Elephas maximus indicus: one gene and its partners. The protein of the gene in region 3 purifies or fractionates together with the protein of the main gene of each other region. This does not show direct contact. Links are inferred from orthologs where the notes say so. Each region holds a gene or a part of one and is shown on either strand. Other genes may lie near its edges.

What was found. Proteins that work in one complex are often made in the same cells at the same time.
Region 1: the proteins of SEC13 (region 3) and NUP107 purify together in Homo sapiens (affinity purification with mass spectrometry; 8 studies listed by BioGRID and IntAct, counting the BioPlex papers as one, with this or other methods). This does not show direct contact. The link is inferred for Elephas maximus indicus from reciprocal best matches to the Homo sapiens genes SEC13 and NUP107.
Region 2: the proteins of SEC13 (region 3) and NUP85 purify together in Homo sapiens (affinity purification with mass spectrometry; 5 studies listed by BioGRID and IntAct, counting the BioPlex papers as one, with this or other methods). This does not show direct contact. The link is inferred for Elephas maximus indicus from reciprocal best matches to the Homo sapiens genes SEC13 and NUP85.
Region 4: the proteins of SEC13 (region 3) and NUP98 purify together in Homo sapiens (affinity purification with mass spectrometry; 4 studies listed by BioGRID and IntAct, counting the BioPlex papers as one, with this or other methods). This does not show direct contact. The link is inferred for Elephas maximus indicus from reciprocal best matches to the Homo sapiens genes SEC13 and NUP98.

The regions. Positions count from the first base shown.
Region 1 is NC_064822.1:129,494,957-129,502,321, reverse strand, and holds the start of NUP107 (nuclear pore complex protein Nup107), read right to left. Parts: upstream 3,224-7,365; 5' UTR 3,139-3,223; coding exon 3,131-3,138; intron 848-3,130; coding exon 756-847; intron 274-755; coding exon 187-273; intron 1-186. UniProt on the Homo sapiens protein: Plays a role in the nuclear pore complex (NPC) assembly and/or maintenance. Required for the assembly of peripheral proteins into the NPC. May anchor NUP62 to the NPC. Involved in nephrogenesis.
Region 2 is NC_064837.1:65,550,926-65,559,371, reverse strand, and holds the start of NUP85 (nuclear pore complex protein Nup85), read right to left. Parts: upstream 3,224-8,446; 5' UTR 3,086-3,223; coding exon 3,053-3,085; intron 3,044-3,052; exon of another isoform or gene 1,176-3,043; intron 1-1,175. UniProt on the Homo sapiens protein: Essential component of the nuclear pore complex (NPC) that seems to be required for NPC assembly and maintenance. As part of the NPC Nup107-160 subcomplex plays a role in RNA export and in tethering NUP96/Nup98 and NUP153 to the nucleus.
Region 3 is NC_064838.1:35,209,902-35,217,269, forward strand, and holds the start of SEC13 (protein SEC13 homolog), read right to left. Parts: upstream 3,362-7,368; 5' UTR 3,260-3,361; coding exon 3,257-3,259; intron 648-3,256; coding exon 603-647; intron 1-602. UniProt on the Homo sapiens protein: Functions as a component of the nuclear pore complex (NPC) and the COPII coat. At the endoplasmic reticulum, SEC13 is involved in the biogenesis of COPII-coated vesicles.
Region 4 is NC_064825.1:53,106,206-53,114,500, forward strand, and holds the start of NUP98 (nuclear pore complex protein Nup98-Nup96), read right to left. Parts: upstream 3,224-8,295; 5' UTR 3,037-3,223; intron 1-3,036. Other genes in the region: PGAP2 (post-GPI attachment to proteins factor 2), read left to right, coding at 3,631-3,638. UniProt on the Homo sapiens protein: Plays a role in the nuclear pore complex (NPC) assembly and/or maintenance. NUP98 and NUP96 are involved in the bidirectional transport across the NPC. May anchor NUP153 and TPR to the NPC.

The DNA.
Region 1 (7,365 bases), on a different chromosome or scaffold from region 3:
ATGCTATCTATCCCACAGTTAATGTGCATTTATGTAAAGCACAGTAAGCTGCAATCATTAAATAGTGGCTGCATTCATTATTATTATTATTGATACTGCAGCCAAATATATTCATTATGTGTATAATAAATATTAATTGCTATCATTAATGTTATCATTCAATGCTTTAAAAGCAAAAAATCTTACAAGGCTGTCGAAATGAGCTGGGAGTTCGAGGAATAACCTGGTTTTTTGGTGTAGTGTTAGCACAATTTTCGTCTTGCGATGCTCGAACTGTTAGGAAAGTTAAGAAAAGTTTCCAAGTAGAAAAGAGATCCTTTAAGTTAGAATTAACCGTATTTGCACTATACAAAACATGGGAATACATATTTAAAGAACCAGGTATTTTACAGCTACCTTTTTTTAAAGAGTAAATAATTCTGTCTGCCATTTAAATTCTTAGATGTCAGTAGTAGACCACTGTCGTTCACTATGAGTTCTTAGTTCAATTCCAAATTAAAAAAAAAAAATCTATAACGTCAGCAGAAGCTAACCATAATGACGATCAGCAGTAAGATGGTACAGTCTTATATTGAGGGAAATATAAATCTTAATCTCATTACCAAATAACAGTATCTGTGGAGTGAGCAAAGCTAATTTCTGAAGCATTTTATTATTACAGTTAGTGTTCAGTATCTCTCATAAAAAGAAGTCTATAACCCAGATTCCAAACACGTTGCAATTTTTTATAAATATGCGTAAAATGTAAAGGATACTTAAAACTCTTTTTTGAGCACTCTGTTTCCGTGCAGTCCGAGTCACCTCTGCCTCTCGGATCGCAGGGGATAACATCTCTCCAAAGCCACTCCTAAAATAGTGAATAAAGTGAAATGTGAATAAAGTGAAAATGTAGCATTCAGAAAGAACTTTAACATCATGATAAAGGACCTTGAGTCAGTCAAGGTATAGGTAATTCCAGTAGCCAAGACTTTGATCTTTTTGTTTAGAACGCCCTCTTCACGCCAAATTCTGATTAAGCCTCAATCACACTCAAATCTTACCAGCACAAAGGCTTCTTTGACTTTTACTACATTAAAGTTTTCTCCTAGGGAATTACTTCAACTCTTGAAATCTGTATTAAAATAACACTGTTTTAGATAACTGCTTAATGAATGTAAATCTTTCCCCTACTGGATTGAGATGTTCTCTAACTGCAGGGACCATATCTTAAAGGATCTTCCGTAGTCTCCAAAGTACCTTAAAGCATGGGTACTAAGGAAAAATGTGTTGCTTGAGCTGGTGAAATAAGTAAAAAAGAATGCTAGCGAACTGGAGAGAAATGACCCTTCAAGTCATTTCTCGATATGGTGCAATAAGGCATCTCCTCTCGCAGTATCTCCTCTCTCACTACCTGTAATCTCTAACGCTCCAGATCACCCCTACCACTCTCACCTGAAGGTCTAGAAGCTAAACAGTACAGATTATGAGGCCTCTTTTAAAACACATATCGAATATGCTTTTTTTCCACTTAAAACCCTGATAGCTCTCTTTATGGCTTATAGAATCCAGTCCAAATTCCTTAGCCCGGTATTTACAACCTGACTCCAGCTTACCAATCCAGTCTGAGCACCAAACATTACTCCATACAAACATACACTGCATGTGACCATTCAGGTACACAGAGCAAGCACCTTCATACTCTCACATCTTTGTACATGCTGTCCCTTTTACAGAGGTCTACTTTTGCCCTCTTGTCCACCTGGTGAACACTTACCTGCCTACAAGCAGCCTGAGGTTAAGAACTCCAGCAATGGAGACACACAGATTCAGGTTTAAAATTTGGTTCTTCTATTTACCCTGGTGGCACAGTGGTTATGAGCTATCCTACTAACCAGAAGGTCAGCAGTTTGAATCCACCAGCCACTCCTTGGAAACCCTGTGGGGCAGTTCTACTCTGTCCTATAGGGTCGTCGAGTTCGAAGAGACTCAACGGCAATGGGTAATTTTGACCAGAACAAATCTGTCTTAGAAAAAGCACAGCCAGAAAGTTCCTTAGAAGCGAAGATGGTGAGACTTTGTCTCACATACTCTGGATATGTCATCAGGAGGGATCAGTCCCTGGAGAAGGACATCATGCTTGGTAAAGTAGAGGGTCTGTGAAAAAGAGGAAGACTCTCAATAAGATGGACTGACAGTGGCTTCAACAATGGGCTCAAACATAGCAAAGATGGTGAGGATGGCGCAGGACCAGGCAGTGTTGCATTCTGTTGTACACAGGATCGCTATGAGCTGGCATCTAATCTATGGCACCTAACAACAACTATTATTCAAAGACTAATTTGAAAGCTACCTCTTTTGAGAGGCCTTCCTGCTACCTCCCTTGACAGGGAGACTATGCTTCCCTCATTTACGTCAACGAGCGTGCATTACAAAACATTTATCACTTTATACTGTGTAGTTAAAACCCATTGCCAGCGAGTTGATTTCCAATCATAGCAATCCTGGAGGGCAGGGCAGAAGTGCCCCATGAGGTTTCCAAAGCTGCAATATTTAGAGAACCAGACTGCCCCATCTTTCTCCTGCACAGCAGCTGGTGGGTTTGAACCACTGCCCTTTTGGTTAGCAGCAGAGAGCCTGACCACTGCTTAGTAGTCTCCCTCGATACACAAAGAATCCCCCGAGGCAAAGGACCTTGATTAACTCATCTTTGTCGCCAGCGGCCAGCACAGTGCTGGCTCATAGAAGGAACTCAATAACCATCTGCTGGGATTTGGAATCAAATTCTGGGCTGAGATTCCAATTTGTCACTGACTGGCTTTGCGATCTCCGGCAGGTCACTTAGCATCTCGAATCTGCAGCCGCTACTTACCTTGCCCACCCCAAGAGCAGAAAATGATGTGGCGCCAAAACGCCGAATAGGTCGCAGGGCCCCGGTAGGAAAGCAGAGGATTATTATTACCCGTACTCTCCATCCCCCAACCCACACCCAGAGGCCTTTCCTCCGTCAGCTGCAAGTCTCCCAGTCCGGGAAGAGTCCTGGGGGAAGCAACCGGGACCTCTTGGGCTTCCTGAGTCGGGTTTCACCTATTTCGTTCTGCCAATAGACAGAAGGGGCAAATCTCTGGGCTCGGTTGTCACCATGTGAACTGACCTGTCCATGGCTACAGCCCTCTCCTCCAAAAAACTTGCAACCTTGGTTCTAGTTTAGCCACCGCGTTTCAGCCTTCCCGCTCTCCGGAAGCAAATCCTCGGACCCGGAAGCATACCCACGCTGACCCATCCCCAGAGGAAATAAGTGGGAGGAGAAAGGCAAAAACTCCATCTAGCGCATGCGCGACTTGTTCCGTCTACCGCCGCAGACCCAGCTGGCGCAGGCGCAAAGGCATGACAGTTTTGGACTCGAGCGGGACCTGACCAGGCCGGGGAGGGGCGGGGCCTCACCAGGCTTGGCCGTTACTTGTAGCCGCCACTTCGCCTGACTGATGTTTGTGGGAGTAGTCCAAGGGCTGGGTTATCATGTTGGGAAGCATGTCGACGTACACTGCTTGTATAAGAAAATATGAAGCCATTTTCTGGTATTCTCGGTCAGAATGAGCCAGGACTTGGAATTCAGACGTTGGAGATCTTCCTACCCCGCAGGGGTCCCTGTCTCTCTCAACTCCACTCACCTTGTTTGAATTGTGGTGTAACCCCCTACAGTTTCTTAGTTGTTTTCCATAATTACTATTTGTCTTTTACTTGGTGTTTTTTCCTTGTTATGAAGAGAAGCAGCATGAAAGTGTTAGTATTGCTCTCTATTTGCCTTCCAGCCAAAAAGTATATTCTGGTCTCGAACGGATCTATTGAAGTTTCACCTTAGACATTGAGGAACAGATTTAATTCTGAAATCCAGATTTCTGGGGTCCATGGAGTTGAGGTGACACACCCAAGCCATTGCTTTGAGATCTTCTTTTGAACCTGGAGCCTTGAAAAAATAGGTTTCTAAAAGTCACCTTTGAGTCAAACAATGGTTTAGGTAAACCATTAAAGTAAGACCAATTTGCCTTGGGCATTGTGTTGTTTTGAAGAATTCAGTTTCAGGAAACAGACGTCAAAGGTCAGACTAGAGTTATATTTTAGGATACATTAGTAATTATTTTAATTGTTCATCAAGACAATGCTGTATGAAATTTCCTGACCACAAATTGTTTATCAGCTCTGTACCTTTTTCCATGGCAATGTTGATAAGATGGGGTAGAAGAGTCTTTGGAAGTTTTCTCATTTCTCAGCTTTGAAACTCCCTAGTTGAAAATCGTGTATTAAGTAAACTCAATCAATTTCCATTATTGGCTTAATAATGACTCTTGTTTTAACAGTATTTACATTCTAATTCTGGGAAGCCATCATTCCCAGGAAGGCCTTTCCATGTTTTGAATACCGTGGCGTTTTGAATAAAGGTGGCTTTGATGTCCCCTCAGAAACCCTGTGGGGCACTTCTACTCTGTCCTATAGGGTCGCTATGATTCCTACTGACTGAATGGCAGTGGATTGGTTAGTTGGTAATATAGGCTTGAACCCTCTGGAGTATTCCTCATCAGTAGATGGAGATAACACCTTTATTACAGAGTTGTTGTGAGGATTAAAAAGGAAGATGGCAAATTTACACTGCACAGGGTAGATCACTGAAATGTTAATTTCCCCCTATTGGGTTGAAATATTGAAGGCTTCTATGGGCAAAAACATTGAACAATGCAGGAAACATCAAAAGAAGATGGAAGGAATACACACAGTGATTGTACCAAAAACAATTGTTTGACGTCCAGTCATTTCCAGAGGTAGCATATGATCAAGAACCAATGGTACTGAAGTTCAAGCTGCACTGAAAGTATTGGCAAAAAAAAAAAACTCGTCTTCAGGAACTGACAGAGTACTAATTGAGATGTTTTAACAAATGAATGTAATGCTGGAAGCACTCACTTATCTATGCCAGGAAATATGGAAGACGGCTCCTTGGCCAGTCAACTGTAATAGATCCATATTTGTGCCCATTCCAAAGAAAGGCAATCCAATACAATGTGGAAATTATTGAATAATATCATTAATATTACGTGCAAGCAGAATTTTGCTGAAGAGCATTCAAAAGCGGCTGCAGCAGTACATCGACAGGGAACTGCCAGAAATTCAAGTCAGATTCAGAAGAGGATGTGACACAAGGGATATCATTGCTGATGTTAGATGGATCTTGGCTGAAAGCAGAGACTACCAGAAAGATGTTTACCTGGGTTTTATTGACTATGCAAAGACATTCGACTGTGTGGGTCATAACAAATTATGGATAACATTGCGAAGAATGGGAATTCCAGAATAAATTGTGTTCATGAGGAACCTATACATAGACTAAGTGACATTCCTTCAAACAGAACAAGGGGATACTGTGTGGCTTAAAATCAGGAAGGTTGTGTGTCAGGGTTGTATCCTTTCACCAGACCTATTCAGTCTGTATGCTGAGCAAATAATCTGAGAAGCCGGACTAGAAGAAGACGGCATCAGGACTGAAGGAAGACTTATTAACAACCTGTGATATGCAATTGACACAACCTTCCTTGCTGAAAGGGAAGAGGACTTGAAGCACTTACTGAAGAAGATCAAAGACTACAGCCTTCAGCTGGATTACACCTCAACATAAAACAAAAATACAACTGGATCAATAAGCAACATCATGATAAATGGAGAAAAAGATTGAAGTTGTCAAGGATTTCATTTTATTTGGATCCACCATCAACACCCATGTAAGTTGTTATCATTAGGTGCCATCGAGTTGGTTCCGACTCAAAGCAACCCTGTGTACAACAGAACAAAACACTGCCTGGTGCTGTGCCATCTTCACAATTGTTATGCTTGAGCCCATTGTTGCAAATATTGTGTCAATCCATCTCATTGAAGATCTTCCTCTTTTTCGCTGACCCTCTACTTTACCAAGCATGATGTCCTTCTCCAGGAACTAATCCCTCTTGGATAATATGTCCAAGGTATGTGAGACATAGTCTCGCCATCCTTGCTTTTTAGGAGCATTCTGGCTGTACTTCTTCCAAAACAGATTTGTTTGCTCTTTTGGCAGTCCATGTTATATTCAACATTCTTTGCCAATACCATAACTCAAAGGCATCAATTCTTCTTTGGTCTTCCTTAATCATTGTCCTCATGCATATGAGGTGACTGAAAATATCGTGGCTTGGGTCAGGTGCACCTTAGTCTTTAAGGAGACATCTTTGCTTTTTAACACTTTAAAGCAGTCTTTTGCACTGGATTTGCCCAATGCAATGTGCTGTTTGATTTCCTGACTGCTGCTTCCATGGGTGTTGATTGTGGAGCCAAGTAAAATGAAATCCTTGACAATTTCAGCCTTTTCTCCTTTTATCATAATGTTGCTTATTGGTCCAGTTGTGAGGATTTTTGTTTTGTTTATGTTGAGATGTAATCCATACTGAAGGCTGTAGTCTTATATCTTTCATCAGGAGGTGCTTCAAGTCCTGTTCCCTTTCAGCAAGCAGGGTCGTGTCATCTGCATATCATGGGTTGTTAATGAATCTTCTTCCAATCCTGATGCCCCGTTCTTTTTGATATAGTCCAGCTTCTCAGATTATTTGCCCAGTATACAGACTGTATAAGTATGGTGAAAGGATACAATCCTGATGCACACCTTTCCTGACTTTAAACCACGCAGTATCCTCTTGTTCTGTTTGAACTAATGCCTCTTGATCTACGTACAGGTTCCTCATGAACACAATTAAGTGTTCTGGAATTCCCATTCTTTGCAATGTTATCCATAATATGTTATGATCCACACCATTGGATGCCTTTGCATAGTCCATAATACACAAGTAAACATCTTCCTGGTATTCTCTGCATTGCAATGGGCAAATTTGTTGCAAAAGACCTCTTTAAAGTGTTGAAAAGCAGAGATGGCACTTTGAGGGCTATGGTATGCCTGACCCAAGCCATAGTATTTTCAATCGCCTTGTATGCTTGTGAAAGCTGGACAATGAATAAGGAAGACTGAAGAAGAATTGATGGATTTGAATTATGGTGTTGGTTGGTGAAGAATATTGAACATCCCATGGAGTACCAGAAGAATGAACAAATCTGTCTTGGAAAAAGTACAGCCAGAATGCTCCTTTAGAAGGGAGGATGGTGAAACTTCATCTCACTTTAGACACATTAGAAGGGACCAGTCCCTGGAGAAGGACATTATGCTTGGTAGAGGGTCAACGAAAAAGAGGAAGGCCCTCAACGAGATGGATTGACACAGTGGCTGCAACAGTGGGCTCAAACAGCAAAGATTGTGAGGATAGTGCAAGACCAGGCAGTGTTTTGTTCTGCTGTACTTATAGGGTCATTATGAGTCGG
Region 2 (8,446 bases), on a different chromosome or scaffold from region 3:
AGCCAGTGGTCATGAAGGTCATTAAGAACTGATCTGTGTGCAGCTGGGAGTTGTTGCCATCAGCCCAGTCTGCTGGACCTCAAAACAGTCCCTTAATACACAAGTGAGCTTTGATTGGCTCCTCAACCCAGCCTGCCATCTCTCAATTGCTGACAAAAAAAAAAAAAAAAGCTATATTTGAATTAATTATTATACTGGGATTCAGTGATCTGTAGTTCAGAAAAGGGAAGTTAAAAAAAGAATCGAACCCTGTTTGCTGCACACTGAAAAAAATAAAGACATCCAATCCCAAGGCTTCTGTGCCACCTCTACGATGTTGGCTCTGCATTTCCTCTTTGACTCAGGCCAATTCCCAAGGGCCTCAGTTTCATCCATCCAACTCCTAATCCCTACCACTATAGGCTGCCTAAGCGGCATCTCACACTTAAAAAGGCCACAGCGTGCCGGAAGACACAAAAAAGTACATGTTGGAGTTCAAGAACAGGCAAACTAATCTATGGTGACAAGAGTCAGAAAGTGGTCAGGGTAGAAACTGACTTAGGCAAAGGGTGTGAGGGAATTTTCCAAGTGTCTTGGCTTCAATGGGTCCTCAAAACACCTCAAAATATATGCATACAGGCATTTTCCTGGGGAAGGTGACTATAACTTGTATTTCTTAAGGAGTGCTTGATCAAAAAAAAAAAAAAGGGATTGAAGACCTTTGGTCTAGATGAATCACTCACAATTATTCTACTACTGGGACCCTGGTAGCACAGTGGTTAAGACCTCAGGCTGCTAACCAAAAAAGGTCAACAATTCGAAACCCTATGGGTCTCTATGAGTCAGAATTGACTCAATGGCAATGGGTTTGGTTTGTTCTACTACCTTGAATTTATGCTTAAATATCCTTGAACCTACTAATTACTAATATGCCTTCAAGTACCTTGATAACAGAAAGCAGTTGTCTTAACAGCAGACACAATTCTGAGAAGGGGTGAATTCATAAAATGGTGTTCAGGATAATACATCAGCCTCTCGAAAGTCTGATTAGAATAAACCCAAAGAGCAGATTAACTCTGAAGCACAGACAAAAGTCTAAACTTGCAGAGTTGAGGCTCAGACTCTGGATTATGGAGTTCTACCAAGGATTGTGACTGTCTACGAGGCTCAGCCCACAAAGCTAACCAATTTCCTACCTGGTCTCCACATCAGTGCAGAGCTGGGTTATCACAGGCCAATCATCACCAAACCAAAGCCAATAGCTGCCAAGTTGATTCCAATCCATGGCAACCCTATGTGCAGAGAACTGTGCCCTGTAAGGCGTTAGTGGCTGATTTTTTGGAAGTGGATCACCAGGCCTTTCCTCTGAGGACTCTCTGGGCAGACCTTCAACCTTTTGGTTAGCAGCCTGCCTGTAAACTGTTTTCACCACTCAGGGACTAATTATCACCACCGGAGGGAAAATTAGCTTAGAGCACCTTCATCCCCTTTGTAAACACATGGCTCAATATCAGAGTAATGGAGGTGGGGACAGCAAGATGACGTGAAGTTTGAAGAAGTCCCAGGGATTCTGACATTCTAAGTTTTCTTCCTGAATACACCACTGACAAACAATGACATAGTACTTGATGGATATTTAATATTTAGGGTACTTTACATGTACTTAATAATTAACACTCTATAGAACTAATAAACTTCGTAGAAAATAACTCATTTCAGCTGCTATTTAAGATCTCATATCCCATTTCTACCTCATTAGCTTTGAAATAATCCCCATTTTCAGTATTTGGTTTTATCATAGACTGCTTTGCAATCAGGTAGTTTTAGGTGAAAACTGTACGCATTTTAACCTTCTAAAAAGCAAAAAACACTCGGTCAGGTAACTTACAAAGTTAGTGGTGTATAGACGTTGACAAGGTAGGTCCCTGGGTAGCACTTTCACTACTAGCCTAAAGGTTGGCAGTTCAAACCCACCCGCAGCTCTGTGGAAGAAAGGCCTGGCAATCTGCTTCCGTAAAATTACGTCCAAGAAAACTCTATAGGGCTCAGTTCTACTCTGTAACACCTAGGGTCGCCATGAGTGAGAATCAACTCCACGGCGACGGGTTTGGTTTTTGGTTTTATTAGAGGCTGCTAAGACCCAAGAGGTGCAGAACTCTGAAAGCCTAGGGCATAAAGACAAACTGACTCGTCAGGGGGTCAGGAAAAGCTTTTCTGAGAGGCTGACGGAGCTTAGATTTGAAAAATGAGCGGCAGATAAAGCAAAGAGGGAAGAAAAAAACATTCCGGGCAGCGGAAGGAAATATCTAAAGGTATCTAGTATCCAAAGCCCATGTATCTCTTCATAAAATCACAGATCGTTTATACTTGACATATCCTCCTGAGAGTGCAGACTGAATTGAACGCAAACAGAGCAGTGAAAACAGGAGTGATCCCAAGAGAATAAATACGTTTAATAAACCTGGCGACTAAAACCCACTGCCATCGATTGGATTCCGACTCGTAGCGACCCTATAGGACAGAGAAACACTCCATAGGGTTTTCAAAGCTGTAAATCTTTACGAGAGCCGATTGCTACATCTTCCTCCCGCGGAGTGGCTGGTGGGTTCGAAGTGCCGACCTTTTGGCTTGCAGCCGAGAGCTTTAACCACTGCGCCACCAAGGACCCTTACTGCACGACTAGCAGACGCCAATCTCAGGGCGCTGAGATGTGGAGCAGCTTAATTCGGTTGGAAAAAAAAAGCCCCACCCACGCTGGGTCCGGACTCGCTCTAACACCCAGGAGGAAAAGCGGAGCAAAGTAGGAAGGTTGGGAAGACAAGGGCGGAAGAGGGATGGAATGGGGCCTCCGGGGACAGGTTTCTGAGGGAACAAAGAAGCAGAAACCCAGCGACCACTGCGACCCGAACACGGGCACCTAGTTCAAGCCGCGATCTCTCGACGGCGGCAACTGAGCCGAGGAAAGGGATACGGGCGCCTCCCGAGCCGCAAGGCGGTGGACAAGCCTGCAGCGACGGAGCAGACGCAGCCCTCGGATCGTGAGGGCAAGCAAGCCTGTTCCGGGCGCCCTTACAGTGATTATCGGCTCTCCATCGACCTCCTCCATCGCGCCGCGTCTCAGCACCCTGGAACTGGACAAGCCGCCAATGCTTCCAGCTCCGGCCTCCCGCTCGGAACCCGGCTGAGAGAGAGGACCCCGTCAGGGCGCCTCCAGCAGTGCCGGTCAGGCTCAGCTCCCCGACGTTGCAGGAGCCTCTCCTCTCAGCCATAACCACCCCTGCGGCTGTCTAACGTATTCCCTCCTTCCTGGCCTCGACAGCAGTTAAGGGGAAAAGCGCCAGGTGCAGCCTATCCTCCTAGTAACCCTGCCGCCGGGTCAGGCGCCGCCACGGACAGCCCGCGCCGGGCAGGAAGAAGGCCCCCGAGGGGGCGGGAGCAACAGGAGGGCCGCCCGGCGGAGGTGGTGGGGCCGTGCGTGCGTGAAGCAGCGCGGCTGCCTGGGCGCTGGAACCCGGCCTCTGTGCCGTGCCTACGACCTCTCCCAGCTGGCTTTTGTCTCTCTCTCCCGGTCTCCACATTAGCATCATCGCTTCTCCCATTGGTGTCCAGAGTAATGGGGCCCCTTCCCCTAGTCCCGCCGCTCTGGCGGGCTTGTGTGCCAAGGCAGTGGCCCCCACTCCCACGCTACAGCACACTAGAAGCACGCGGACAAATTGGTGCAACTGTGAAGTGAGACAGCTGGGGTGGCTTAACACAAATACTGGGTTTGTTATCTCTCCAAGGAAAAGCAGAGCAAAATGAATGCACAGCGGAGACACGCAAATCAGAGACTGCGTGGCCTTGTTACGGAAAACTGAAAAGTGTTAAGTAACTTCAAGGTGTGAAGTTATTTATTTTTACTGCCATATAACACATCAAGTAAGAGAATAGTGTTGTTGTTAGGTGCCGTCGACCCTATGTACAACAGAACGAAACACTGTCCGGTCCTGCGCCATCTGTTCTCAATTTCCTATGCAAGCAACTTTTTGAACGAACTGAAGATAATTCGAAATTTAAAAGTAAGTCTTAAAAAATACACTCCCTGAAAATGTAACAGCTTTTTTTTATTTAGGAGGGAAGTTGATCTGAAAATAAATCTATCAATGGGATCAGTGCTTCTTTCCCTGAAAACTATTGGAATCATCTACATGAATTAGTGACAATAAGCTGTTCTGGAATGGTGAGAAGTGTTAGTTTTCTCCTGTGGGCTAGTACAATTAAATCCAAGTCCCATTCACAAAAGTCAGCCACTTGTAGAATGAAATTTGGCAGTTCGGATAAAACTCAACAATTCCCCCATCCACGTCTCGCTGCATTTTGCAGATGTACCACAGCTTCACTGATCTGAGTGCCTAATACCAACGGTGTGGCCCATTTTCTAAGGGATAAAAAGAGGCTTACATTTTCCAAAAGTAAAATAAGCGTTCAGTAGCAGATAAATGGAAGTTTTTGAAACTGGTTACCATATCTGCTTTGGCTATTCAAAATAGCCACTTTACACAACCATTCAAGTACACTCATTAGTTAAAAGAAAACTGCAGTCAATAGAGCTATTGTTGTTGGTTGCTCTTTAATCAGCTGCACCTCATGGAGACCTTATGTGACAGAATGAAACATTGCCTGGGCCTGCACCATCTCCGTGATGTCTGTTTGACTGTTCCTGTGGCTAGTGGGTCAATCCATCTCACTGAGGGTTTCTCTAGTTGTTGCTGACCCTCTCCTTTACCAAACATGATGCTTTTTTTCTAGCAATTAGTCCTGCCTTCATTGTAGGATGTTTAGCAGCATCCCTAGCCTCAACCTACTAGATACCAGTAGCACTCCTCACCAATTGTGACAACTAAAACTGTCTCCAGACAGTCCCAAATGTCCTCTAGGGGGCAAAATAGTACCTGTTGAGAACCACTGGTGTGGTTCAACCAAAGAGGAATAGAGGAACAGCTAAGTAAACAGTATCAGATGAAATATTAACCTATTTAAAAGAACTGTAAAGACTGGACGAGACACAGAAAAGTCAAGAAGCTTTAAAATGTTCATCATTTTGTCCCCATAATTCTACTTCCAGGGAAAAATCAAGAAGGACAGTTTCAATAATCACACTAAAAAAGGGGCATAACCCGCATGTCTCACTCTTAGCTAAGGCTTATGATGGAATATTATGCAGTCATTAAAAGGCAGTTTTATGCATAAGACCAAACCGGTCTCATTGCCTCTCAGCTTGGACAGGGTGTGACTGTTCAGGAAAAGGAGGACTGGGTTTTAACCATTGCACAACCAACCGGCTCTTGCAAAAGCGGGATCATCTCTACCTGGTAGTGCCTGGGCATCCTGGAACTCACAGGAAGAAAGCCCAACATTGTGCTGGGCTCTGTTTTATTTAGTACACTTGTTATTTTCAGTTTACTTTCTTGTTTTGTGATATACTTTGTTACTCTTTGTGACTTTTTTGCATGTTTCCCTTTTTAAATACGCCTGTATTTTCTGTATTAAAAAATAAATAGATGCTCCACCTTCAAAAAAATAATTTTATATGAATATTCAGTGATGTAGGAAATGCTAACAATATAGTGATAAAATGTAAAATTCTATGAAGATGACATTTGGTAAAATTTTCTTAAAAAATTCTCAATTTTATGAAAAATGAAAGGTTGCTATGAGTTGCAATCGACTCAATGGCAACGAGTTTGGGGTTTTTTTTAACAGATATTTAAGTAGAAAACAGGATTGGCAGGAATTATTATTATTACTCTTGTAATCAGGAAAAAAAAGCTGTCTTTAGCATATTTACCAAATAATTTTATAAGGCTATAGGTGAACCAAAATTTGTATATTTCTACAGTTACGTCAATGAGTATGCATATAGGTAAAGATTGAAAATTAAAATTGAGAAGTAGTATTGTTTTATAGGGTCGCTATGAGTCGGAATCGACTCGATGGCAGTAGGTTTTAGTTATTGTATTAAAGTTATGGGAATATGTATGGATTTTAAGTTTTTAATATTTTAAAAGACATATAAATATATTACATATATAATCTAAAAAAACCAAACCCAGTGCCGTCGAGTCGATTCCGACTTATAGCGACCCTACAGGACAGAGTAGAACTGCCCCACAGAGTTTCCAAGGAGCGCCTGGCGGATTCGAACTGCCGATCCTTTGGTTAGGATCCTTTGGTTAGCAGCTGTAGCACTTAACCACTATGCCACCAGGGTTTCCACATATATATATCAATAAATATACGTATGTAAGTTATTAAAAAAATTCCACTTGTGTGTTGTGTGTCTATTTATGAAAACTGCTTGATAGCCTAGATCTAGCCACAAAAGACTTAAAATTGAGAAGTAAAAATTCTAAATGTGACAAGTTTATATTAGTGTAGTAAAAGCTGCTCTAGGCTCATAGTTCTGAAACTTCAGTGGACTTCAGAACTACTTAGAGGTCTTATTAACTACCTCTTCTTGCACCCTATCCCCAGAGCTCCTGACTCAGTAGGTCTGGGGTGAGGCCAGATACTTGCATGTCTAACGTGAAGCTGATGCTGTTACCCAGAGCACCAGCCTTTGAGAACCATCCTTCCAACTCTACCTTCCTTATCTCCAGGTAAGAGTAGTTAAAAATGAGAATTGGAGAGTAAAGATAGTATCTATATTGGGCATAACTCTGTGGTCTGTAGCTTTAATTTCTTTCTGTGCATTTTATGAAGCTAGCCAACAGCTTCAAGTTGCTGGGCCTCATTGCTAGTGCCCTGTTTGAATCCAGTGATGAACAGAGGAGTAAGACAGAAGCATTAATGGATTTAGAAAAACTTGATTGTCCTACCATTGTACAGGCTGCATAACTGACAGGTACTCAGGACGTCTTATTTAGGCATGCTAAGGATTTTTGTCATTCTCATGAAAGGTGCCATAAATGCCCTGAGATAGCCTTTAAAACTTAAACCAGAAGTATCCCCTGAAGTCTTCTCAAAACCAAACAATAGTTTAGCTTAACTAGTAAAAAGGTCTGCCTTAAGCATTATGCACTTTTAAGGATTAGCTATATGGGATGAAAGGAACCCTTTAGTGGCACGGTGTTTAAGAGCTCAGCTGCTAACTGAGAGGTCTGTAGTTTGAAACCACCAGCCATTCCTTGGAAACCCTGTGGGGCAGTTCTACTCTGTCCTTTGAGTCTCTCTAAGTCAAGTCAGAATCCACTCAGTGGCAAAGGGTTTGGGTTTTTACATGGAATGAAAGTGACAACAGCAACTCTAATGATTGAAAGATTACATAGGAACCTTAGGGGGCAGTGAATTTATGTTAACGGGCGGGGGGGAGAACAACTCAGAAAAGGAGGTGAGAATAGTTGCACAACTCAAAGAATGTAAACAATGTCACTAAACGGTATAAGTGGAAACTGTTGAATTGGTGTTACATTCTGCTGTGTATATTCTCAACAAAAACAAAATTAAAAGTACCATGAAAAGTTACTACTGGATCAATAAGTCAGTGAACATTTATTGACCACCGACATTCAGGACTTTGTTATTTGCTGAGAATACAAAAACGAAAAGTGATGATACCTGACCTCAAAAAGCAAATAGGACCAGTCTCTACATTATGCTTGCACAATATGTATATCAATATTCAGTGAATATGTAGTAGTGTTAAACGGGCAATCTTTTTCTATATCCTGTGCCCCAGCTGACACAGCTAATGCTGTATGCTGGGCTCTTGGCATTGACTGCTGGTATAATCTTGGGTCCTATTTTCCTTGCCATGACCCAAGGGTAGAAATCTGGATGGTTTCTACATCACCGTTCTGGCCCCAGACTTCCTGCGGCATACTCAGAGGCAGCTCAAGTACTCAACTAATTTTTCTTAGAGCATGAGGGAAATGTGGTATAAACCATGCCCAGTTGAGTTGTCTGTATTACAAATTCAGTTATACATTTCTCAGGGTTTTTGGCAAGGACTTAAAGCTCTAAAAGAACTCTGTGATTCTAGCTCTCCTACCCCTTCTTGGAACTTAGCCCTGGAGAGCACATTCTAGCTGGTTCATCCTATTTCTGTTGTTAGGTGCTGTTGAGTCGATTTTCAACTCATAGCAATCCCCATGTGACAGAGTAGAACTGCCCCATAGGGTTTTCTAAGCTGTAATCTCTCTTGAACAGATCACCAGGTCTTTCTCCCACAGAGCTGCTGGTGGGTTCAAACTGCAGACCTTTCAGTTAGTAGCAGAGCACTCAACTGTTGTGCTACCAGGCGTCCATCACCCTATTCCTATGCACCAATTATCGATACTTAATTTTATTCCTAGAGGAATTAGACCTTTTTAACCCAAGTTTTTTTTAACCCAAATTCCTAGTTAATCCCTAGTGGTGAAAGCTGCTCACAGCACAATCCCTTATTCATTTCCTTCCCTGGCCCACTAGGCTCCATCCTGGCACTATC
Region 3 (7,368 bases):
ATGAAGCAGTGTATGATTTTTTCTGCTGGGACTTTAACCTTTGGACCCACTCGTGCAGCCCTGACCTCTCACACTGAGCCCTGTGTTTGCCTCTCAGGAAGCACCCTCAGTTCATGACTCTGGCTCACAGGGCCTCGCCTGGCCAGCTGTCTGTGGTGGTCCTGCCTGGTTCTGCCTTGGGCTTTCGCCACGGCTTCCCTCTGCCTCTGTAGTGAGTCATCGTCTTGACTCTCCCTTCATGTTCCCGCTTTCAGCCCCCTTTCCAATGGGGCTAAGAGGTGGGAGCAGAAGGAAGGCAGGTAGGAAGACTACTGTCAAACCTCCGCACCCACTCAGCTAGAGGGCTGAGAGCCACGAGCTAAAACCATTCCTAGGTTCCTTCCACTAAAGGTGACCAGACTGCCATAGCACTGCCAACTCAGAGGACATGTCTGGGCTGACTATACCCTCTACAGCTACAGCCTAACTGGCAGAAGGCTGCAAAGCCACACCTTGGCCCATGAATGATCAATAGAAAGGAGTAATGAAAAACACAAACTGTGTCCCTTCCCCAGAGGTGCCCGTGTCCACAACCTCTGTGGGTGGGCTGAATGAATACTTACAATCATGTCCTCGTGGGAAGTATCCACGGTGTTAATTACTGACACCTAGAAGCAAAATATTTTTGGTAAATTAACTGATGGCAGTTAGAATGCAATCTTCTTATTAAACCCACCAACCGTTTCTAAAATTCTTGACTGCCATTTGTTCATTCATTTAACAGTCATTCTTTTTGCCAAGCACTATGCCAGGGACTGGAGACATAGACATGAATAAAAGGTACTCTTTGCCCTTGAGAAGTTCACATAAAATAACCCTAACGTGGCATAAGTAGATGCCGAGGTGGTGGTGGTAGAAGACATGAACCGGGGCTTAGATGATGAGTGAAATTTGCCAAGTGGCACAGGGGAAAAAAAGGACAGTCCAGACAGAGGGAACAATATGAACAAGGACAAAGAGGTGTGAAAGAGCTTGATGTGTGTAGGGGAACAGCAAGCAGTCCAGGCAACCACTGAGGTGAGGAGGACCTTGAGAGAGCTTATTGGTTCCCTTATTGGGTGACAGAGCCCTGATGTTCTGGGCAGTTTCTGTATAACAGGGTTCATACCTAAGACTTGCAGACTTGATTCAAATTCCTTCTGAGGATGCTCCCTGGTCCATCACCTGTGACAGACCTGAGGCTATCACCTAATGGGGTCTAGGACTGAGTAGTTTGTAGGGCTAGAAGATGGCTGTCATGGTCTTTGCCTTCCTACCCATGTTTCAAGGTCCAGCTCAAATAATACCCCCTTCTGGACAATTCCCAGATCCTCTAACTAGGTGCACTCTTCTGAATATCTTCAGCACTGAATGTCTACAACACTCCATGTTATTTCTTCTCCCCACTAGAAGGTGAGCACCCTGGGGTCAGGGTCTGAGTCATCTGCCATGTTTAACCCCCTCATATCATCCAGCACAGTGTCTGCAAACAGAAGGAACTGAGTGACTATTCACTGAATGAATAAATGAGTGAACAAAACTGACCACTATTCTTTAAATTTTTTAGGATGGAAAAGGGCACTGAAAAGGAAGTTTCAATTTGGAACTGATATTTCTAACCGTTTCCCCTATTTCATCTTTCCTGCACAAGCCCTGCAGGGATAAAGTTTGACTTGACTTTTCAGAAAGGTGGACACTGGAAGAGGACGGCTGCAAAGCAGCTCAAAAGGTACACATCAAAAGAGCCCAGGTTCTTTCATCAAATGCTAGACTCCCTAACAAGTGGGTGCACAAGGTCTGCGAAGAGAAGTAAGGACGATAAGAAGAGTTTCCTGTGTGTGCAGAGTTGTCTAGGTTACGAAGAGCTTTCACGTGTGTGCTGGGATGTACGAAAGACAGAGTTAATCAGGGCTGTCTAACAGATTAAGGAATGGAAGCCTAGAGTAGAAAAGCACTTGCTACAGCCACAGAGCTTAGAATCAAGGCCGATCTCCTATCTCCCAGCCCACAAAGCTTCCCACTCCATCAGGCTGCCTATTTAGAACATCCCTTAAATCCAATAGCTGAAGGCTGAACAGATTCAGGAAGAAAGTTTACTGGGAAGTAGTTCTATACCAGATCATCAAAAGACCTTAGAGATAACCAGCGTTTATTTCTAACCGCTCTCATCCACTAGCGAGGGCTGGTTAACAATGCTTCTGAACCAGTGTTGTTGTGTTTTTTAAAGCTCTGAGAGTACCTCCTCCCGAGCACCTGGAGTTATGTGGTCCTTTTTAAGAGGCAACACGCAAAACAATTCAGCTCTTCAGAATCAGTTAATGAGTTAAAAATTCATTTAGAATGAGCTGAATGTCAGAGCATAAGAGACCAGCAGCTGAAGAATCTGAGGCCAAAAGAGGCCGGCGATTTAATACCAAGGCTGAGCCTTCCCCTCTGAGCAAGAACTAAACCCAGTGTCCTGACTTCTGGGTCCACGCTGGCTCCCCCATGCCTGCTGATGAAGCGCAGCCGCTTTCCTGACAGCCTGCGTTTACTGAATCCCCACTCGGGGCCAGACTCGGGCTCAGGCTGGATGCTTTCAGCTCTCAGCTCTCGTCCATCCAGTCTTTCCCTCAACGAGGACGCGTCGCGCGAGTGCACACCGTGGACAGCACGGAGATAGGACACTCAGCCCTGCCCTCGGAGTCCTTCAGTTCATCCCTACGTCAGTTTCCTGCAGTGTCCCTCGCAGCTGGGGTACCTTCGGGGGACCCAGCACCCAGAAAGTCGACAGACATCTTTGCTGGGAGAGGGAATGGCTAAGGGGGTTCGAGTCTCAGCTCTGCCATTCAGCAGCCGTGCACGAGGCTTCAGCTCTCAGAGCCGCGAACTTCCTCGTCCGCACAACGTCGATAGTAACAGGCCGTCCTTCGCCGCGCGGCCGTCACGAGCGACGCCTGGACCTGACTGAGCGCTGGGGGAACAGCAGCTGCCGTGCTGCACTGTCGTTGTCTTTAATTGTTGAGGAGAGAAGGGGAGACGCGGCAGCCGCGCGGCCCGCAGAGCTCCGGGGCGCCGGCGGCCTCACGCGGGCCTCCTCCTCCGCCAGATCCCCCCACCCCGAACCGGCGGCGGGGGCTGGAATCACCCCTGCCCGGGTGGGAGCCTCAGCGCGGCCGAGGGACCAGCGAAGGCCAGCTCTGTCAGGACAGCGACCGGGGCCCGAGCCCCACTCGGCATCGCCGGCCCCGACACTCACCATGGCTGGTGCGGCGGCAGCTCCCGGCCTCGGACGTGGCAGCTCCCGGCGGCACCTCCGAACGCCCCACTTCCGGCGCCGGCTGGCAGGCCGTCGGGCCGTGGCTCAGGAGCCTCCGAGCAGCAACCCGCTCCGGCTCCCACGAAGGTTCCGTGCCTTCCCGAGGCCGCGTCCCGCCCTCCCGCTGCCCCGCCCCTTAGCCTCGTCCTCGGGAAGCCAAGGCGGGACGGCTCTGGTTTCCACGGCGTTCCTGACCCGGGACCGTTTGGAATCTGAAGCTCTGTCTCGCCTACCTTCCTGAGCAGCCCTTCCCTTTTCTTCAGACGCATCAATGAAAGAAAGGATCCTTAACTCCAGCTTTTCCAGCCTCCCTGCGGTTCTGGGTGCGACCTTATGATGAACTTTGTAGGTCGAACAATTTGGGGGCGGGGGTGAGTAGATTGGTGCTAGCCTCCCTTTTTGGTTAGCCCATCCTCAGGACCAAGGGCTGGGACAAGGGGCAAAAAAAGCTGAAACCTCTTGCCCCGCCCTCCCCAAGCCGTAGGTCCTGCGCCTCCAAACTGCTCCTTCTCCACAGCAGTCCCGGGACCCAGGAGTCTGGCCCACCAGGTAGATCCCCAGGCAAGGAGAAGCCAGGCTCCTGCAGCTAGAGCCCGGGACCCAGCCCCCAGTTTTCCAGCCCGCTCCCCCGCTGCCCAAAGGAGGGAAGCTGAGGGCTCCCCACAGGCACAGGGAGAAACGCTGCGCTTCTGGCCAGAGCCTGAGGCCCAGCCTTAAGCCACCTCGGGACTTGAAGGAGGCAGGGGACCTAGAGTGGAGTCTATGCTCCCCTTGGATAAGTCACAATCCTTCAATTTCCTCCCTTGAACGTGAGGAAAAGAACCCTAGCTGGAGACAGTCACTGCTTGAGGGAAGATGTTAAAGCTCAGAGAGTGTAACTGACCCAGACTGGCAAGGAGCTATGGAAGGGGGCCCAGAAAAGTGGGGTGCTACAGAGCTTGGCCAGACCTCCAGGTAGCAAACCACCACCCATCCCCACCCAGGAGTTTAGGACTTATATTTCCCTCTAGTGTGCGTCTCTGTGTCAGGGGCGTGTTTAGGGTGGGGCAGGAAGCAAAAGGTGGGGGGCCTCTTGGTCCTTCTGTTCTTCAAAGGACAGACCCTGCCCTTGGGTTTGTAGCTGCACCCACTGATACTCTGGGTGATAAGGTCAAGGAACTTTACTCTCTGAGCCTCTCTTTCCTCAAGTGGGAAACAGGGATAATGGCATATTAGACATAATAGAGTTTAATGCGTGGGGGCATTGTTGTTATGAAAGAAATGCCCTGGTGTAGGTAATGAAGTTGAAGAAATTGGGGATTTGGGACAAGCAATGGAGCTGTATCTTACTCATTGAAATATTTGCTGGTGGCCTTGAAAGGCATAATATAGAGGTTTAGAATACAGGTTCTAGAATCAAGACTGCTTAGGTATAAATACTGTATCTCCTGCTTCCTAGGTGGGCACACCTTTCACCTCTCTGGGCTGCTGGGTCCTCCGCAAAGTGCGAATTATAATAATACCTACTCCAGAGGTGGATGTTGGGATTAAATGGGCCCTTGGATGTGAAACAGTGTTTGGAAGTTGAATGGGCCTATGGTGCTTGATCTGGGCTTTAGTTGTCCCTGAGAAGAGGCTAGGATCTAAGGAGTGTGTGTGTGCTTGCACATGTCTGAGACCCCAGCCCTTGGCCCAACATTAGGGACTGTTTTTTAGTCTGGGCACGTTCTCTTTCTCTGCTGATGCTTGGCAGAGGATTTGCAAAGTTCAGACTCTTGGGTACCAGGCTCCCCTCTGCCTCCCTCCTCCTCAGCAGGAGATGCCACTTTACATCCCATGTCCATATGTCCCACCCCCTTCCTCTGGTTGATCCCAGAACCCATGTCAGGCCAGTCTTAGCTGTCTCCAATGTGTGTCCCCTCTCTTCCTCCTACAAGCCTGTTTGCCCCTGGATCTTCTGCTCCTCCTGAGGCCCCTTCTCCCAAGGCCTTGTTCTCTGGGACTGTGGACCACTCTACATGGAGAATTAGTGAGTGATGGCAGGCTACACTTGTCTCCCTCAAATGGTGGATTTTCAGCTATGAGTAAAAGCACTCCCTCTAGAAGGGGGGACCTGGTGGGAGGAGAGAGGGCACCCACTGAGCACTGTGCCCTTGGGCCAAGTGCATTTCCCTCCCAGGGACTCAACTGCCCTCAGTTCAAATTCACGGAGGTGGGGGGGTGGTTTGCCCAGCTGTCCTTTGGAAAAAGGCCTTGTGATGTGTACCGTGTCTGCATTTCCACATGTGCATTTATTGTTATTGCTCAGTATAGTGTTGAAAAGGCAGACAAATCCCATTAATTACAAAGAGCACAAGCCAGAGATACAGAGAAATAAAAAGTGTACAATAAGAGCACAGTCACTTCCCAGCCCCAATTGCCCCAGACCCCCCAGAGCCGGGGAAGCTTGTGGAAGCTGGAGGTGGCACCATTCTGTCGCTACTCTGTTATAAAATATGTGCACACAAGAGTTAGCAAAGTGGCTACCCCTGAAAGTTCCAGCTCTGGGAGGGAGAGCACCACAGGCATTACAAAACATACTTAGGGGGCTGGGAAGGGTGGTCCCTCAGCTACCTTGCTTTTGGTGGAAAGGGTGATGGCTGAAGCCCAGGGCCCAGGGTCACCCTCCCACCCACCCTTCACCCCTGCTTGGGTGGGTAGGATCTCTACCTTGAAATTAGGAGAGCTTGATTTGGAACTCAGAAAGGCCGGGGAATTTCATGCTGTTGTCTGATTTAGGCCTTGGCTCTGGAAGACCCCAAAGCCCTCAAGAAACCCCCTCCCCCAGCACAGGAGATTTCAGACACTATGGCAGGAGAGAGGTTTGGGCAAGAGGCTCATGAGAGTGCACCAGGTGGCAGCCTCCTCTAGGTAGAGCAAGAAGGAGAGGGGCTGTAGGGGTAGAGGGTATGGTCCTGGCAAGACATGCTGCATCCCAAAGGGCCCATCACACAACCTCTGAAATCAGCTCAGGAAAGGGAGATGGGAATCAATGTTTCTCCACGATGAGGATGAGAAGTACAGACAACTGGGCCACACATTCTGCCTTGCAAAGGTCTCTACTAGCTAGCTCTGGTGCTCCAGGTCTAGGACAGATTACTCTTTCTCATCTGGGCCAGGGGCGATGGAGGGTCCCTCCCAGTACAACGAAAGTGGGATGACTCTTTCCCAAACTGAGATTAGGTGGGGCTCAGTGGTCTTCCTGACAACTCCTGGGTTTAGGGGACAGGCGAAATGATGGGGGGAACATTCAGCTTCCCCTCGAGGCAGGAAGCCTTTTTGGTTCCCCCTTACAGGACACGGTGTTGCCAGTGGCCCAGAGTGGACAGTAACTGCAACGGAAGGAAGATATTTGCACAGAGAATGGCAGGGCCCAGGATTTAGGGTGAGAGGAGGGCAGGGAGTGGAAGATTAGGCAAAATTTTAAAAGTTTACTTGGAAGAACAGATATCAGGGAATGACCAGAAAATTCTGTAAAAGAGTGAAGCAGACTTGCCCCATCAGGTAGTAAAATATTATAAAGCTACATTAATTAAAACCATGTGGCTGGTGCCAGATGAGACACCCAGAGAGAGAACAGAATAGAAATTCCAGAAATCGACCCAAGTAATATAAGGTGTCAGTACATGGTCAAAGTGGTATTTTAAAACAGTTGGGGAAGAGAATACATTATTCGATAACTGGGATACCCAGGTTCAGACAGGCCCAGAGTTGTTGCTCTAGTGCAGTCACTGTAGCTAGTCTGGTCTCAGAAGCAGGGTGCCCTCCCTCTTACCAGCTCTGTGTTGTGGTGGGCTAAGAGGGTATGGTGAGGTGCTGGTGGGAGCAGCTGGGGCTGCTCCAGAGTTGGGAAGGCTCTGCCCGAGTTGCAGAAACTCCTTAGAGTCTTCCCAGCACACCTGTGAAGGCGGGGCACTCCACAGCCCCGGGAACCACTGACTGAGGCTGCCTGCTCTTCCCTCATCTATTGAGGGCAGCAAGCTGGGGAGCTGAGACCTCCCACCTGCATCTGCCACCTTCTCCGGGGGCCCTTG
Region 4 (8,295 bases), on a different chromosome or scaffold from region 3:
TGTCAAATAGTTTGGGTCAACTTCAAACGCAAAAAGGTATACCAAATTCTCAAGAAACATTATTCAAATTCCTTGCTTCTAATGTTGTTGTTGTTAGGTGCCATAAAGTTGGTTTCAACTCATAGCGACCCTACATACAACAGAACGAAACACAGCCTGGTCATGTACCATTCTCACAATTGTTATGTTTGAGTCCACTGTGCCAATCCATCTCATGGAGGATCTTCCTCTTTTTCACTGACCTTCAACTTTACCAGAAACCCTGGTGGAGTAGTGGTTAAGAGCTACAGCTCCTAACCAAAAGGTCGGCAGTTAGAATCTATCAGGCACTCCTTAGAAACTCTATGAGACAGTTCTACCCTGTCTTATAGGGTTGCTATGAGTCAGAATTGACTCAACAGCAGCAGGGTTTTTTTTGTTTGTTTGTTTCTACTTTACCAAGAGTGATGTCCTTCTCCAGGAACTGGTCCCTCCTGATAACATGTCCAAAGTACAAGAGACAAAGTCTCATCATCCTTGCTTCTAAGGATCATTCTGGCTGTACTTGTCAGAATGGCTGAGTAGTGTAAGGCACCAGACTCAAGGTGCACACCTTGCCTGCAGGCATTCCGGTCTCTGAATGGAGGCATGGGCTCTAATCCCACTTCTAACACAATCCGTGCCTCTAATACCTATTTTTAAATCTCTAAATTTCTAAATCCCCTAATCTTTCAACAAACTGCATAATTACAGATATGCTCTTTATTGGAAATAAACATCAGAGCTACTATCCCTTACTTCTAGGTTAACTGTCAGCAAATAAATAATATAACTGATAATATAATACAATAAAATAATACGACCGATTTTTTCTAATCTGCCAGCAAGTTTGGTTCCCTAGAAATTCTACTTGCTCTTAGCTATCCAGGAAACCCTGGTGGTGTAGTGGTTAAGTGCTATGGCTGCTAACCAAAGGGTTGGCAGTTCAAATCCACCAGGTGCTCCTTGGAAACTGTGGGGCAGTTCTACTCTGTCCTATAGGGTCGCTATGAGTTGGAATCGACTCGATGGCACTGGACTAGGTTTTTTTTCTTTTTTTTAAATCTAGGAGCTAACGGACATGAATAAATTCAGGTACCAAAATAAAAATTACACATTATATAAGCTATATCAATTCTCTTATCTGGGCCTCACATTTCAGAAGCATGTAAATACTCAGACTCTCTTATGATTATTTTTAGGTAACTCCTCTGTATTTGTTTATTCATTCAAGCAAACACATGCTTGGCTACTACATGCCAAGCAACCTGAATACAAAGATAACAACATTTTACCACTGTATAATAAAAAAAATTAAACAGCTAAAATGCAAAACTGTATGTGCTATAAACAGAAGTATCAAATAAGTGTTATGGAAGCTTGAGGGGGATAGAATGCCAGGAAAGTCTTCCCAGAAGAAAGCAATGCTTGAACTGAGAAAATGTCACAGAAAACACACACTGTCCACATCTTAGTATTTAGACTACAGCTCTTGTCTGCTCTCATACACTACGAAATTTTTCAGTTTTTGCTTTGTCATATAAACAAGAAGTAACAATCTGACTGACTAGAATAGACCAAAGGGGCAAAACTAGTAATTCCATTTCTAAATCTTAAATAAACAGTAAAAAATAATAATTTTATCAAAGTATTTATGTCCATTACCTCCATCCTGTCCAATGTCTGGCTTTGATATCCTAACTTCTCTCTCCAAGTAAACATACCATCTGTCACCCAGTTAACAAATATTTCTTTCTGAATTTATGAAACTGCCAAGAGAATAATCCTTGTTCTTTTCTTGCAGTTAGCTGCTTCTTCCAAATCGGAGTTTAATTCCCTCATTTTATTCTATCAGAATACTTTATTTTGAACTTTGCACCAAACAGGAACCATGGAGTTCCAAGGTACAAGAATTACAAAGTGACCGCTGCCTAGCTTTATACGTCTTGTCTATACTTCCCAATGCTGTTGTGGGTCACTAACTGGACTCCTCAGAATCCACAGTCGCTAACACGGGTCAAAAATTCAGATCTAAAACGGGAAACTAGCCAACGACTTGTAGTTTTATCAATTCGTTTCCAATACATAACACCACAAACGTTCTTTAATCAACTTTTAAGGTTAGTTCCCTTGGTCTAGGTAAGGGTACCACTAATGAAGCTTCTCTCTTATTTTGAAGAGATAGCAACACTCAAATTCAAAACGCTCTTTAAGACTACATCTACTCCTAACTATCGAATATCTCCCCTCCCCATCCCCGGAATCCTCAATAATCAAAGACTGACCTCCCAGGAGGGTGTAGTAAAAAATTTCTAGACTGAGTCTGGACGTCTGGCTAATCCCGTCCTTTCTCTAGGCCTCGGTTTCTCCATCTGTACAGCTTGCATGTGATGCAGGGGAGTGACTAGCTCAAATAATTTCTATATAACTATCCAGGAACCCAATGTTGTTTCTCATCTGGCTTTACACGGAACACGTGGGAGAACAGAAAATAACCCTGTACTCCACTGAACCGATCCTAATTCTCAGATATTATCTTAGAAAGCTAGCAAACTCCCAACACACCCACCTACCACCTTTGTCTCGTGCAAAAGACATGGCAAATGAAACCCATTTCTGCACCAACGTCAAGAAAGTCTGGGAAGATCATACTCAGGGTCTTAAGGCGAGGCCGGCCCAGCGCCGGCGCCTATCACCGCCAAGCGTATGAATGAGTAAAAAAAACCAGTACAACCAGCTAAATGGATGCTCTATCCCCATGGGCTGCAACTGGAGACCACCCCCTCCCCACCCCCACCCCCGGTCCAGACCCCACCACATCGATTCCCTCCCAGGGCCCAAAAAGCTAAGCCTGGGGGCCGCAGGATCGTGGGCCCCGCCCCCTCCCTCAGGGTAGAAGGTGCGCGACGGGCGCGAGACTTCGGCGCTGACAGGGCCTGGGACGCCCCGCGCAGCCGCCCGCCCTGAGGGGAGGAGCCTGCCGGCCCCCGGCCGCCGCTGCTCCGGCTCCCGACTTACCGCGATGCGGTGGGCGAGGGGAAGTGTCAGGAGTGAGAGCCCAGGCCCGTTCGCCACCCGCCGCTCTCTGAGCAGCGCGCGGCCGCCACGAAACCGTCGCCGCCACTACCACCGCTACCGACCGCCGCTCCGGGCGCAAAGCGCAGAGGGCCCGACTGCGTCACACGCCGCCTGCCGTCAGAGGCTCGCTCTGAGCGCTCCGCCCTCGCTGTCTGAACATTGGCAGACGAGGCCGCCACTCTAGGCCCGCCCTGTTATTCATTGGGCAACTAGTCTTTTGAAACAGAACGTGAGGGCGGTCTTCGGGAGAAGGGACAAGTGGGAAGAGGAGGGGCATAAAGAGTTAGAGAGAGGAAAGGGGAGGAGCGGTGGAAGGGATCATGGAGTCCCGCCCCCACACTGCCGCGGTTGGCTGGGAGAGAGTCGTGGCGTCACATAGGGCCCCTAGAAGTGGGCTGGTGACTGGCTAGATTGGGGTGGACCGGGCGGGGTGTGGGAGAGGAGTGGTGACGCCATACCGACGCTCCTCCCCTTCTTTGGGGCCCAAAGACTCCGGCTGCGGAAGCTCGGGCCAATCAGAAGGAAGGCTCCAGGATGGCTTGGTAACTATTCTACCCTTCCGTCGCCCCCCCGCCCCCCAGGTCCGCGGGCGGTGATGGGAAGGCTGCCCTGTCGCCTTGCTCACACTTCTTGGCCATACCACGTGCGGAGCTAGGTCTTTCCCGGGAGGTCCGTCTGTCGGAAGAACTTGCCTGCGACGGCTCTGAAACCCCAAATCGCGGCCCCCACATCTCTTGACCCATGCCAGCAGTAGTACACCCTCTCTGAACCTCAGTAACCTCTCGTAAAAGAGAAGGGGGAATTATATACGCTGGAATAGACTTTATGAACATTTGAGATGCCCTAAGGAAATAGCCCAGCATAGAGCTTGGTACAAGTGAGGATTCCAGGGACTTCGTTCCTGATAACAGCTACAGTTAAAAAAAAAGCCAAACCCATTGCCATCGAGTCGATTCTGACTCATAGCAACCCTATAGGACAGAGTAGAACTTCCCCCTTAAGATTTCCAAGACACAGACTGCCACATCTTTCTCCTGCAGAGCGGCTCCCTCGTGGTTGGAACCGCGGACCTTTCGGTTAAGGCATAACCACTGTACCGCCAGGCGTCTTCTCAGACAACCCTAACTTATTCTTAAGAGCCGCGTTCAAATGTTCCCGCCTTCGCTGGGATACATTTGCCAACCTCACCAAGCAGAGTTGGACTAATGTTCCTAACAGGCCTCAGTCACTGTATCCTATTATTTACTTGCCTGTCCTCTGTGCCCAGAACAGAAAAAAACTTGATGACAAGGAGGAGAGGTGAGCAATGTTCTAGAAACTGGATTGATCTAGTGGCTGAGGATCTCATACAGAAAAGCAGGGGCTGTGCTCATGCTCAGAAAACGTCTTCGGACTACCCTCCACCACCACCTCCATCAATGCAAAACTGAAATGGGCTCTGCCCAAAGCATAGGTGAACTTAAATCCTGAGTTTTTAATAGTAGAAAGGGATATTTGATTAATTTGTCAGAAAGTGTCGTGGTTGTATAGATGAAATAAGATGATGGATGTGCTTAAAGGAAGATAAAAAATATACATTGATTGCCAAATAGTAAAGCTGGTTTAAGCAGCTAACTCGAGCCACCTTCCTTGAACTCCATCCAAACATCCCTCCTTTTGTCTCCATCCCCCCCGCACCAGGCCCCCCACCTGTTCCTACTCTCTCGGCTCTCCACCCCCCACCAACACCTTTGCTGTACATCAGAAAGTCATAAACTCTCCAGGAATAGTTACTGTAGCTTCCTCACTGCCCCCCTGAACCTTTGATTTCTCCTCCTTCATTCCTCAAGCACAACTCTGTTCAAGACTTTTCTCTACTAATTTAATTTGGAATTCCTAGGATTAGGCAAGGAAACCCTGGCGGCGTAGTAGTTGAGAGCTATGGCTGCTAACCGAAAGGTCAGCAGTTTAAATCCACCAGGCAATCCTTGGAAACCCTATGGGGCAGTTCTACTCTGTCCTATAGGGTCGTTATGCGGTATCAACTCGATAGCAACGGGTTTGGTTTTGGTAGGATCAGGCACAGAGTAGATACACATTAGATGTTTGATGCATGAATGAGTGAATTATTTTCTACAGTGAGGAAATCATAGTAAAAATGTTGGGCTTTAGAGTCAGAGAACCCTGGGCTTAAATCTGGGTTTAACTGTGTGAACTTAGACACATTTCCTAACCTCTCTAAACTTCAGTTTCCTTGTCTGTAAGACGGGGATAACAACTGTATTTGCCTCACAAGGTTGTTGTGAGAATTAAATGAGATATTACATATAAAGCATTTAGCATGGTGCCTGGTACCTAATAAGCCCTGAATAAGTGTTAGGTATTGTTTGTATTCCTTAATGTCAAGGAGCTTCCATTCTTAACTCTACATACTCTTAAGACATGGGGTCTGATGCAGAGAAGAGGCTCAGAAATACACATCAGGTATGCAGGAGCTGGGATCCTTAAATAGCACACACTTGTGGGGAGAGTGGAGGTGGACATATTGGACAAGGAGTGCTTCAAGGAGGAATTTCCTGAGACCATGGTGATTTCTAAGTAGTATTGTTTGATACTGTGATAGACATATAGCCCATTCCCAGGGACCTTAGGCTGGGAGAGGATTTTTTTGTGGATCCAGGGCTTCCTGGGCCCACATATTCCTACTCTGCCTAACTCTCATAGCATCCTTTTCAATTTTCATCTTCCTTCTTCCACTCTAAAGATAAGCATTTTGATACATGTTTTCAAAAGCTTGCTGAGCCAAGCCCTGTTCTGAGCATCAGGAGCCCAGAGATATCCACAGATCAACACCCTACACTGATTAAGAAGGACAACTGAGGAAAGTCTAAGCGCAACAAACTTGGAGTAAAACAGAGCTAGGTTCAAGTTCTAGATCTGCTACTTTTTAGAGTGTGCACAAATTATTTAATTGTTCTGTGCCCTAATTTCTTTGTTAAATGGATACAATAATTGCTACTTGAAGGTCAAAAAAGATAAAGGAATTTGCCAGAGACTGGGCACATGTTTGATTCATACTGATTCTCTTCCTCCTCACCTGTACCTTGATAAGGAAGGTTAAGTTTTGTAAATAATGTTGAATGAATAATTTCTTTTACGAGGATCAGCACAAAGCTGGTTCCTGTGAGGTGGAGGTTAAAGATGCCACACATGTCCAACTTTTTTCCAAACTACTGTCCTACTCCGTCATCTTTAACATGAACTGCTCCTTTTCCTCTTAGTACTGTTCCTTCCATCCTTGGGTTCAGTAATTCGCTGCAACATCTCACAGAACTCAGGAACCATATCTTAAGGAAATAGCTCACATGGTTATAGAGGCTGGCAAGTCCCAAATCCATGGGTCAGGCATCAGGCTGGAGGCTTCTCCAGACCCACGTGGCTGCAGGGGCTGACAAACCCAAACTGGCAGGTCAAACAACAGGGTGCTGGCTCACAAATCTGTGGAAGTTGGCAAATCAGGTCAGACAATAGGCTGCTGGCTGAAGGGGCTGTGAAAGCTGGCAAATCCCAAAATCGGCAGGTCAGAGATCAGGCTGCTGGCTCAAGCTCCAAGAATCAGACTTTAGATGATCATGACCGAAATGCAGGATCTAGAGTGAGAGAACTTCCCCAGAGCATTCATATATATTTGATGCAGACCACACCTTCAAGGAAACTCCCCTACTTGAGAAGGCAGTGACTTGAGTCATGCCCTTTAGTAAGGGTAGTAACTGGAGTAAGGGTGGTGTCTTGAGTCACACCCTCTAGTAAGGTGGTTAAACCCAAAAAACCAAACCCACTGCCATTGAGTTGATTCCAACTCCTAGTGACCCTAGAGGACAGAGTAGAACTGCCCCCATAGAGTTTCCAAGAAGTGCCTGGCGGACTCTCAAGCTATATCCCTAACCCTGCCTCATTAACACAACCACAGGCATACAGGCTAGGATTCACAACGCATCGTAAAAGGGAGGATAATTACATCAGATCACAGAATGGAGGACAACCATATAATACTGAGAATTATGACCTAGTCAAATTGACACACAACCCCAACCAGCACAGGTTCTATACACCTTAATTGCGTAGTTGCACTCAATCATTGTGTGTGAATCACAGAAACTATGGCTAGAAGGGCCATATTGAGCAATTCATTGTACTGCAGGCCACCTCCTAACTCTTCTAGTCATTGGCCCTTTCATACTTGAAGGATTATGTTTCCCCTCCCAATCATTTTACAAGTCCAAAACAGGTATTAGCAATTAGTCTTTCGGTAGGGCAAACAGTCCTCAGCATGAGGTTTCTCAGGTACCAGCCATTCAGGTTTGCTGCAGGTGTCCATATGATCTGGTCAGGTTCTCCAAAAGTCATCTCTACCTTCACCCTTTCTGGCTTCTGATAAAATTTATCTGAGAGATTATTCCCTTGCTCTCAGTCTCTCTTGAGGTATCAGCATAATGTTATATTTCCCCTACTGCATAACTCATTTATTCGTTACATTACCTTCAGCTATTACTTCTCTTTCCCTTCATTTGACCTTTATCTTTACTCAGACTTTTTCACCTTGGAAAGGGGCATCAGGCCCAGCTGCTATGCCAGTCCAGATTGCTGGTAGCAAGACCAGTCTAGCAAGTGCTTCCCCCTTAGTTCACTCCCATTCAGATTGGGTAGGGTTACATAGGAACAATATTAGTGGGTTTTTTTTTTTTTTATCTTGCACACTAGGCAGTACAGCAATATTCAGCATCAACCCCAGTTTTAGCCACATGGGGGGAAGATACAACCCATCCCATCAGGCCCTTGGAAATTCTGGCGTATAGTTTCAGGGGTATGTGGCCTTTTGTGTCTGGCTTCTCTCACTTAGGATGTTCTCAAGGTTCACACTTGTAGCATGTATCAGTATTTCATTCTTTTTTATAGCCGAATATAGCTGGGTATGTCATATTTTGTTTATCCATTCATCAGATGGGCTGTTTCCACTTTTTGTCTATTGTGAGTAATGCTGCTATGAACATTTGTGTACAAGTTTTTTTATGGACATATGTTTTTATTTCTCGGGTATATACCTGGGAATGGAATTGCTGGGTCATATAACTCTATGCTTAATTTTTTTTTTTTAAGAACTGCCAGGTTATTTTCCAAAGTGGCTGCACCATCTTACATTCTCACTAGCAACATATGAGG